Linked DNA regions of Danio rerio. Each later gene encodes a partner of the first gene's protein in a complex. Links are inferred from orthologs where the notes say so. Each region holds a gene or a part of one and is shown in the gene's direction. Other genes may lie near its edges.

The links.
Region 2: the proteins of itsn1 (region 1) and fchsd2 are in contact, whole or in part, in a crystal structure (PDB 6GBU), measured with the Homo sapiens proteins. The link is inferred for Danio rerio from reciprocal best matches to the Homo sapiens genes ITSN1 and FCHSD2. Residues at the interface, in NP_003015.2 of Homo sapiens: Pro1076, Ile1078, Gly1098, Leu1100, Leu1102, Gln1117, Ala1118, Arg1119, Gly1120, Lys1121, Lys1122, Arg1123, Leu1136, Ser1137, Pro1138; in NP_055639.2 of Homo sapiens: Tyr576, Gln581, Thr582, Asp584, Glu585, Gln602, Asp603, Asp604, Asp605, Gly606, Phe607, Val618, Pro620, Val622, Leu623.

What each region holds. Positions count from the first base shown.
Region 1 is NC_133176.1:50,394,082-50,398,370, reverse strand, and holds the start of itsn1 (intersectin-1), read left to right. Parts: upstream 1-1,347; 5' UTR 1,348-1,523; intron 1,524-4,289. UniProt on the Homo sapiens protein: Adapter protein that provides a link between the endocytic membrane traffic and the actin assembly machinery. Acts as a guanine nucleotide exchange factor (GEF) for CDC42, and thereby stimulates actin nucleation mediated by WASL and the ARP2/3 complex.
Region 2 is NC_133193.1:4,391,614-4,395,444, reverse strand, and holds part of fchsd2 (F-BAR and double SH3 domains protein 2), read left to right. Parts: intron 1-3,008; coding exon 3,009-3,186; intron 3,187-3,831. UniProt on the Homo sapiens protein: Adapter protein that plays a role in endocytosis via clathrin-coated pits. Contributes to the internalization of cell surface receptors, such as integrin ITGB1 and transferrin receptor.

The sequences.
Region 1 (4,289 bases):
ATGACAATGACGTCATGGGAAATTCACAAGGCACAATATTAACGTTTTTTTTTTAAATATGTAAATATAAATTATTTATTTTAAAATAATTAACACGCACACCTGGGGGAAACATTTGTAATAATTATTTTTGTAGTATAATTTCTATGCAAGAAAAAAAAATTCACAGAATAACTTATGTAATAATCATTTATTATTTTATCTTAGGCTTAGCTAGTCCCTTATTAATCAGGGGTCGCCATAGCGGAATGAACCGCCAGCTATTCTGGCATATGAATTTTATGCAGCAGATGCCCTTCTAGCCGCAACCCATTACTGGGATTAGTTGGTGGTTCATTCTGCTGTGGCGACCTCTGAATAATAAAGGAACTAAGCCAAAAAGAAAATTAATGAATTATAGGACTTTGTGACCTGGACGCCCTTCAAAATTGTTTTACAATTTACACATTAGATTGTTGAAATTAATAAAAAAAAACTTAACATCATTAGAAATTTAGAAGCTCCAGTAATTTTAATATTCCTGTGTTTTGCTTTTACTTCAGTTTTTAAATAAATGACAAATTAAAATAAAATAAAACTTAAATCTTGATGTAAGCCATTTTATCTTATAGTGAACCTGATTTTTTCTTACTTTAGAAAATCATCTGGAAATTTACTGAGGCCTTTAGTGGGCCCCAAACACAAAAGAAGATATTCTGAAGAAAGCTGGAAACTGGTAACCGTTGACTTCCATAGTACTTGTTTGTTTTTTTATACTATGGAACTCAATGGTTACCGAATTTCAGCATTCTTCAAAATATCTTGTTTTAAGTTCAGCAAAAAATAAAATAAAATAATAATAATAAAATAAATAAAAAGGGTTTAGAACCAAGTGAAGGCAAGAAAATAATGAGTAAATGTTTATTTTTGGCCAAACTATCCCTTTAAGATTCTACTGTATGCAGTAAACAGAAGCGCTATCGGGTTATTATGCATTTTGACAACCTTTCTAAGGATATCTTTTAAATTTGTTTTTGTTCTTTTTTTTCTCTTTTTGTTTATTGCTAATGCCACATTTATTTATTTATTTATTTATCTTGTTTTCACGTTTTAGGTATTATTATTTTTGTATTAATTACATTTTTATTAATTATTATTATTATCTTGTAAAAGATATAAAAGTGCTATTATTTGCATTATTTTTTATTAATTATTATATTTTTATGAATTATTATTATTATTTTCTTGTAAGAGATATATAAGTGCTATGGGTTAATTTGGGCCGCAGAGCGCCCTCTATGTGCAGTAAACAGGCAGACTCGGACGCCCCAATGACGTCCGCACGTTTCATTTTCCCCCTTTTACTTCACTACTAGCGAAGCTGCACAGAGGAAACGAGGAGCCACACAAGCAGCAGCCAAATAACGCCTGGAATTTACCTCGAGCGTCAAAAAAGGACAGAAGAGCCTCCGCCTGTCACCTCATGCCCCTTTAGTTGATTCCCTCGCAGAGTGCTGGAGTCATAATGGAAACTGAATGATGAGGTAAGAAGACTGTTTTTGAGCTCAGGCCGATTGTCCTTTTTATGACAGTGACTGCGGGAGGAGGAGGAGGAGGAATCTGTAGGATTTCAGGGCGCGCTTCGTCTCCATACACTAGCATATGCTCTGCAACGGTCACTCCAACGGTCATTTCCATTCAGAAACCGCATCAATAAGTACAATAGTCATTTATTCATAAAAACAGGCCTCTGTAAGCTCCCCTTCTCCACGCCGAGATTGCAGCTAACGTTAAACCTCTGCTCTGATTTACTGGTTTAGTTAGCAGTCTTGCTAACGGCTGCTGGTATGTTTTTATCAGTGACAGCAGCTCAAAAACTGCACCTCTGTGGTAAAACACATGGATATAGTGGATTATTAGGACCTCGAGAGGGCTGAGGACATGTGTGTTACATGTAGGATGTAGAAAGAGTGAGTTTGGTCAGTGAAGACCACCAGCTCATCTTCTCACATGGCTGCAGGTCTCATCTGTAGCACTTGCATATGGAGATGCTCAAGTGTGCATGATGATGACGACTCCATCTTTTCTCCAGTGCACATGTGTGTTTGTGTGTATGCATACTAGCCAGGAGAAACATGGGTTATTATCCTGTGATTATGTCTGGTGATTAAGGCTCAGATCCTGTAGTGCAGTCTGGCAGTGGATTTGGGTGCTTTGTCTTTAAGCCACAGTCCTGTATAGTATGTAAACACTGTCAGATTGGAGGGTGGTTTACGAGATCTTATGAGCTGTGCAGCTGGAGACTTTCCCTCAGGTCAGGCTGGTCTTAAACCTGTTCAGCTCCTGGTTTATACACGCGTTCCTTGATCACAGGACTTAAGCGGTAGACTTGAAATGTGACCTCACAAACTGATCTAAGGTTAGATTTTTGGTTGCTAGGATGTACCCGGGTATTCAAATATGACAGGCCCAAGTGCTGTAGAAGTGCAACCAACGTTGATCAAAATTTTAAGCACTATTGAAGAATGTTTTGTGTTTGTAATTGTGTTTAAAGTTTTTATAATATTCAAATGTAAATCTAACATTGTTAATATTAAAATGAAATATGTCTAAACATTACCCAGACTGTCATAGTCACTCTAATGTAAATGAGAAAGCATATCTGCATATTATTATCAGGCTTTTATTGAGGCATGCCAATTTATATTTGTAGATGTATGAATTCATTTACAAATATCAATTGACAGGCCTCCAAAAAGGAAACTTATTTATTAGAGTCTTCAAACAACCAATGAAATAAATAACATTTGGCAGAATAATGGAATTTTATTAGAGGGCCTGAAATTTTTTCTATGCAACCGCAAAATATATTTGGGAGCATTTGTGCGAGTGCATAAAATTGTTATCGTGCTACCAGTTTTCACAGCAAAAAAACACCAAACGCAGCGCTCGGGAATGGTTTAAAATAGTTGACATGTCAACTTGCTGCAGGAAACAAAGCCCCCATTGCTTGTCCCACCTTCAAGCTCTTCTTATTGGCCCACTGCGTTAGAACATAAGGCGATTAGATTGGTTAACATCAGCTCTTAATTACTCAGTTTCGATGACATCGAGATCCAGCCGCGAAAATGTAAAGGTCTGGATACGAGAGAATGAAAACAACACTGACAGATGTGGTTTTAGAAACCACCTAAAGTTACAAATAATGGCACATCTGATTAGTGATCATGTAATGAATGTCAATCCAGCATTTACACTTTTCGACGAGTGGATAAAAGACTTCCAGTGGTTAAAGTCCGCTATGAAAATGACTAAAGCATTCACTGTAGAGCCGGTGGGACTGAGTTTTCAGGGAACAGTCATAATTTGACTCACAATTTTTGGTGGGTGCAACTAAATTTTGTCTGATGGGCCTACATTTTTGAAGTTAGGAGTACCGGTGCTACCAAGGAAAAAGGTTAATTTCGAGCCCTGTATTGGTTGATTTGCTTTTTGAAGTTATTTAAGTAGGGGTTTAAAAGGCAGAAAGTAACTATGTGTCTGTAATGTGGAAATGTCAGTTTGAGGATTTTGGAAATATAAATTGCATTTTTATAAAATCTATTTTCACTGAATCAAATCTAGAATAAGATTAAGAATGGAATGAGATCAAAATAGGAGATTGGGAATCAGAATTGAATCAAATTGGTACATTTAAATTGATACCAAGCTCTACTTTAAATATAGAACACACAACTACTCCACTTTCCTGCAAACAGTGCAAATTACAAAAACTTATGATGATGATGATGATAATCAAAATCAAGTCTTGATTTGACCATAAACAAACATCACACATTTCAGGGTAAGACATGTCAGACGAGAGGTAGCGTTGAAGAGTAAATAAGATACATTTTGGAAAAGGATATTATACATCATATTACATGCACAGGCATAATAATTGCCAAACTCTTAATAATTTTAACAAAACGAGAGGAATTCTTATAAAAATTGCATGTTTTATTTGATACTGTGCTGAATAATCCATTTTATGTAACGAATGTTAACATCTTTGATACTCTTTTAGGTGAAACTGCATATTCAGGATGGTTCTAAATAAAAACAGGCATGTAGTTTATATAAGACCTCTTATTTATGTTTAACTTAAATTCTGCATATGATATGGAAAGTTATATGCAGAACTACACCCTCACTTTTAGTTTGTGTCCTTTTTTATTCCACCTGCCAGTCACACCATCACATAATGATCTTCTGTTGGCCAGAGATTTTCATGTGAAATGTATTTAAAGCTCAGATATCACCAAACCTGA
Region 2 (3,831 bases), on another chromosome or scaffold:
TTATTGCCCAGCAGGCACACAACATCATAAGACGTTAATATTAGGTTCGATTTAGGTTGTGATGTCAAGTGACCAAAATTTTATGTCTATCCAGCGTCTAAAGACAAGGTTATGTTAATGTCCAATAATTGTTAGAAAAAAGGTTGTTAGAAAGTGACCAAAATCCAAAGTCGAGCCAGCATCTTAAACCAACGTCATATTGACGTCAACTACTGACATTTATTCGTCAGGTATGGCAACCAGAATCCAACATCTGATAGACGTCATAGTGGTAACGTCCCCACAACGTCAAGCTTTAATATCATTAGACGTTGATATTTGGTTGATTTTAGGTTGGATGTTGAACATTGACGTACAGTAGGCCTGACATTGGGTTCTGACATCAACCCGATTTTTGTTTCCCCTATGTTGGGGTACAACTTCAATCTGATGTCATGTTGATGTCTTGTGCCTGCTGGGTGTTTAAGGCCATTTTGGTCATCTTACAGTAAACATCCGTCATCTTCTCATCAGTGACATGCATCTAAACAATCACTGGGTCATTACGTGATTTTAAACATCTTCTTAGACACTTTTAATGCTTTCAAACAGTTTGCTGCTATTATAAAATTGCCCATGTCTTGAGGTTGTTCATTATGATGCGATTCACCTTATATGTGTGATTTGATTGGACAGGAAAAACAGGACTGATTTTTCTAATCCTCATAGACAAGAGAAAAAAAGTCTGCAAGTTGAAGGAAAGTAATGGAGTAAAAGTACACAAAGAAAAGTAAAAGTAAACATTTTTTAAAACTACTTAGTAAATTACAATTTCTGAGAACAACTACTAAGTTACAGTAATTTGAGTATTTTTGATTAGTTACTTTACATCACTGTAGTGTTAGATTTTGCTGTATTTGCGTTAACCGTTCTTGGGTGGCTCTTCAATGTATTAGATTACTCTAATACATAAAATAAGTAAGCTGACCAAAGTTCTTACGGAGAGAAGACTTAATTGAAGACAATGAATAGTGCAGTTCCTCAGCAGTGATGTTAACCCGTCAGTCTTCAAGTAACTTAACCCGAAGTACTGTCTGTGAGACAGTACTTTATACTAGAATCATACAAACCATTCTGTGTTTACGATGCTCAGCAGGACCCTCTTATCAGATGTTTCAGCTGTTGTTTTGCTAGTACCCATTGAGATTGTAAAAGGGTCATTTAGTTCACACCTATCCATTTGTGGGGGTTGAGGCACAGGTCAACCCATCATATCACATCAGAGTTTAATCAATGTAAATGCAACAGAACTAAACTGCACATAATCTTTCAATACTGTAGTTACATACTACTTATACACACCTAGTTACCATGTAAGTTCACAAGTATAAGCAACATTTAATATAAAGTGGGACCCAACGTCTGAGCTCATGGCAGTCAGTGGGTGTTTTGAGCACAGCTCCTTAGGTGAGAGCAGCTCACGTCGGACAGTTCATCAGAGATCTACCACTAGACCTCATATAGTTGTTAAACTTGATATTTTCTCAATATTATTCTCAATATCCAATTTTAGATGTCTCTGTTTTCCCCAAGGGGCAACATCCCGCTCTCCCTCGTAAAGCTAATACAGAAGTAACTGTAACTGCAGTTCATTGAAATTCCACTAGGCCCGGCTCCATAATAGAGCACATTTCCATTGACCCTAATGTTAAAATGTCCGCATTTTTATAACTCATCCATTTAGTTTATATTAGGTTATATTTAGGGTGCTTTCACACCTACACTTTTGTTTCGGAACACGTCTCGTTTGCCCAGTTAGCGCGGTTCGTTTGGCATATGTGAACAGGGCAATCGCTCTCTGTTCCACGCCAAAGTAATCGCTCCGAGATCGCTTGAATGAGGTGGTCTCGGCTCGATTAGAACGAACCCTGGAGCGGTTCGATTGCAGTGAGAAAGCGATCCGATCCGAGCGCGGTTATATCACAGTGTTTTATGGATATGTAATAGGCTTACGACTATATGAAGAGAGAAATATGAGTAGGGCGGGAAGTTTCGCGAGTCTACGGATGCTCGATTGATGATCTCCTGGTATTCTCGCGTCTCCCTCCCGGTCCTCAAATAGGCATCGTCGCGCACCCTTCTCACCCCTTCCCACCGCGTCTCTCCTCAGACACGTAGCGCGCGCACCCTGTCAATCACCACCAAACCACCACCTCTCCTGACAGCTGAGCAGGACGCTGCAAAATAAACCCTGACACTCTGACCAATGTGAGGAGAGTTTACTCGCACGTGACTTGTTTTAGCTCTTTTGGTCCGATTAGAAACTTTGCAGTGTGAAAGCGAACCGCTCCAAGAGCAAAGAGCATCAATGTAACAATTGTAATCTCTGTTTCGGAACAACTGAATCGATTCACAGATGTGAAAGCACCCTTAGTCTGCATAATTAAGGGCGTGGCCACTTGAGTGACAGGTCTCTTCACCTCAGCTGATTCCGGCTGATTAGCTGCTGAACTCGGCATATTCATCGTATTTTTCTTGTGTTTTATTTGGCTTTACACAGTCAGTTGCCTTTTGGGATTATTTCGTACCATTATCAAATGATGTGGCACGCTGTGTGCACTTAATTGTGCTAGAACACAAACGAGTCGCAGGTAATGAAGGATTAAGCGTTTCTTCCAAAGAAAAGCCTGTCTAAGCAAAATGCTTGCAGGCGTCTGTAGCTCTGCCTCTTTGCCCTTGTTTGGTATCCCACGGTCGGCGCAATGACGCACTAACAAAATGGCAACAGTTAGCCACGCCTACTTGTAGCTTCATTTGCGCTATTCATCTTTTACAGTCTATGGTTTTCCCCCATCCACACTGACACGGAGCAGCAGCATTTTAAAACCAAAACGGCCTCTCTAGCGTTTCCAAAACACTCCCATTTTGGGGCTGAAAATCTCTGGTGTAGTGTGCAGACGGAAGGCGTAACCTTAGGTCTCCTCATTAAAGTCTGCCTCTAAATGTTGTGTTGCATTTGTTGGTTGCAGGCGCGGAATAAGACCGGGCAGGTGGGCTACGTTCCAGAGAAGTACCTGCAGTTCCCCACCTCTAACAGTGTACTGAGCATGCTCCAATCCCTCGCCGCGCTGGACGCCAGATCACACTCCTCCAGCAACTCCACTGAGCCTGAGCTGGCATCAGGCAGCTTCAATGGAGACAGCAGCAGTAAGACACGCAACCATACACACATACAAATCAAAAACACAAACACACACATACAAAACACACATGCAAACACACACACACAACTCTAAGAAACATACAAACACACACAAAACACACATGAAAACACATACAAATAGACACACACACATATACTGTATACACACACACAAAACATAAATAGCCACAAACACAATTACACACACACACAGTTGCACGGGGGCACAAACATACACATAAACACAAACAAACACACATACTGTACAAACACACATACTGTACAAACACACATACTGTACAAACACATACACACACACACCGAGAGACAACCACATAAACACACACACACACACATACATACACACATACAAAAACACACATGCAAACACACACATACAAACAGGAACACATGCACACACACAAACACACACAAAACAGACATACATACAAACAGGCACAAACATGAACACACACACAAGCAAACACATACGAACACACACAAAACACACACATATCCAAACGCAACACAAAACAAATACACAAGCGTATGCAGACACATACAAACACACAAACACACATACAAACAGATAAAAACACGAACACACACACATACAAATGAACACGTACACAAGCAAACACACACTAAAC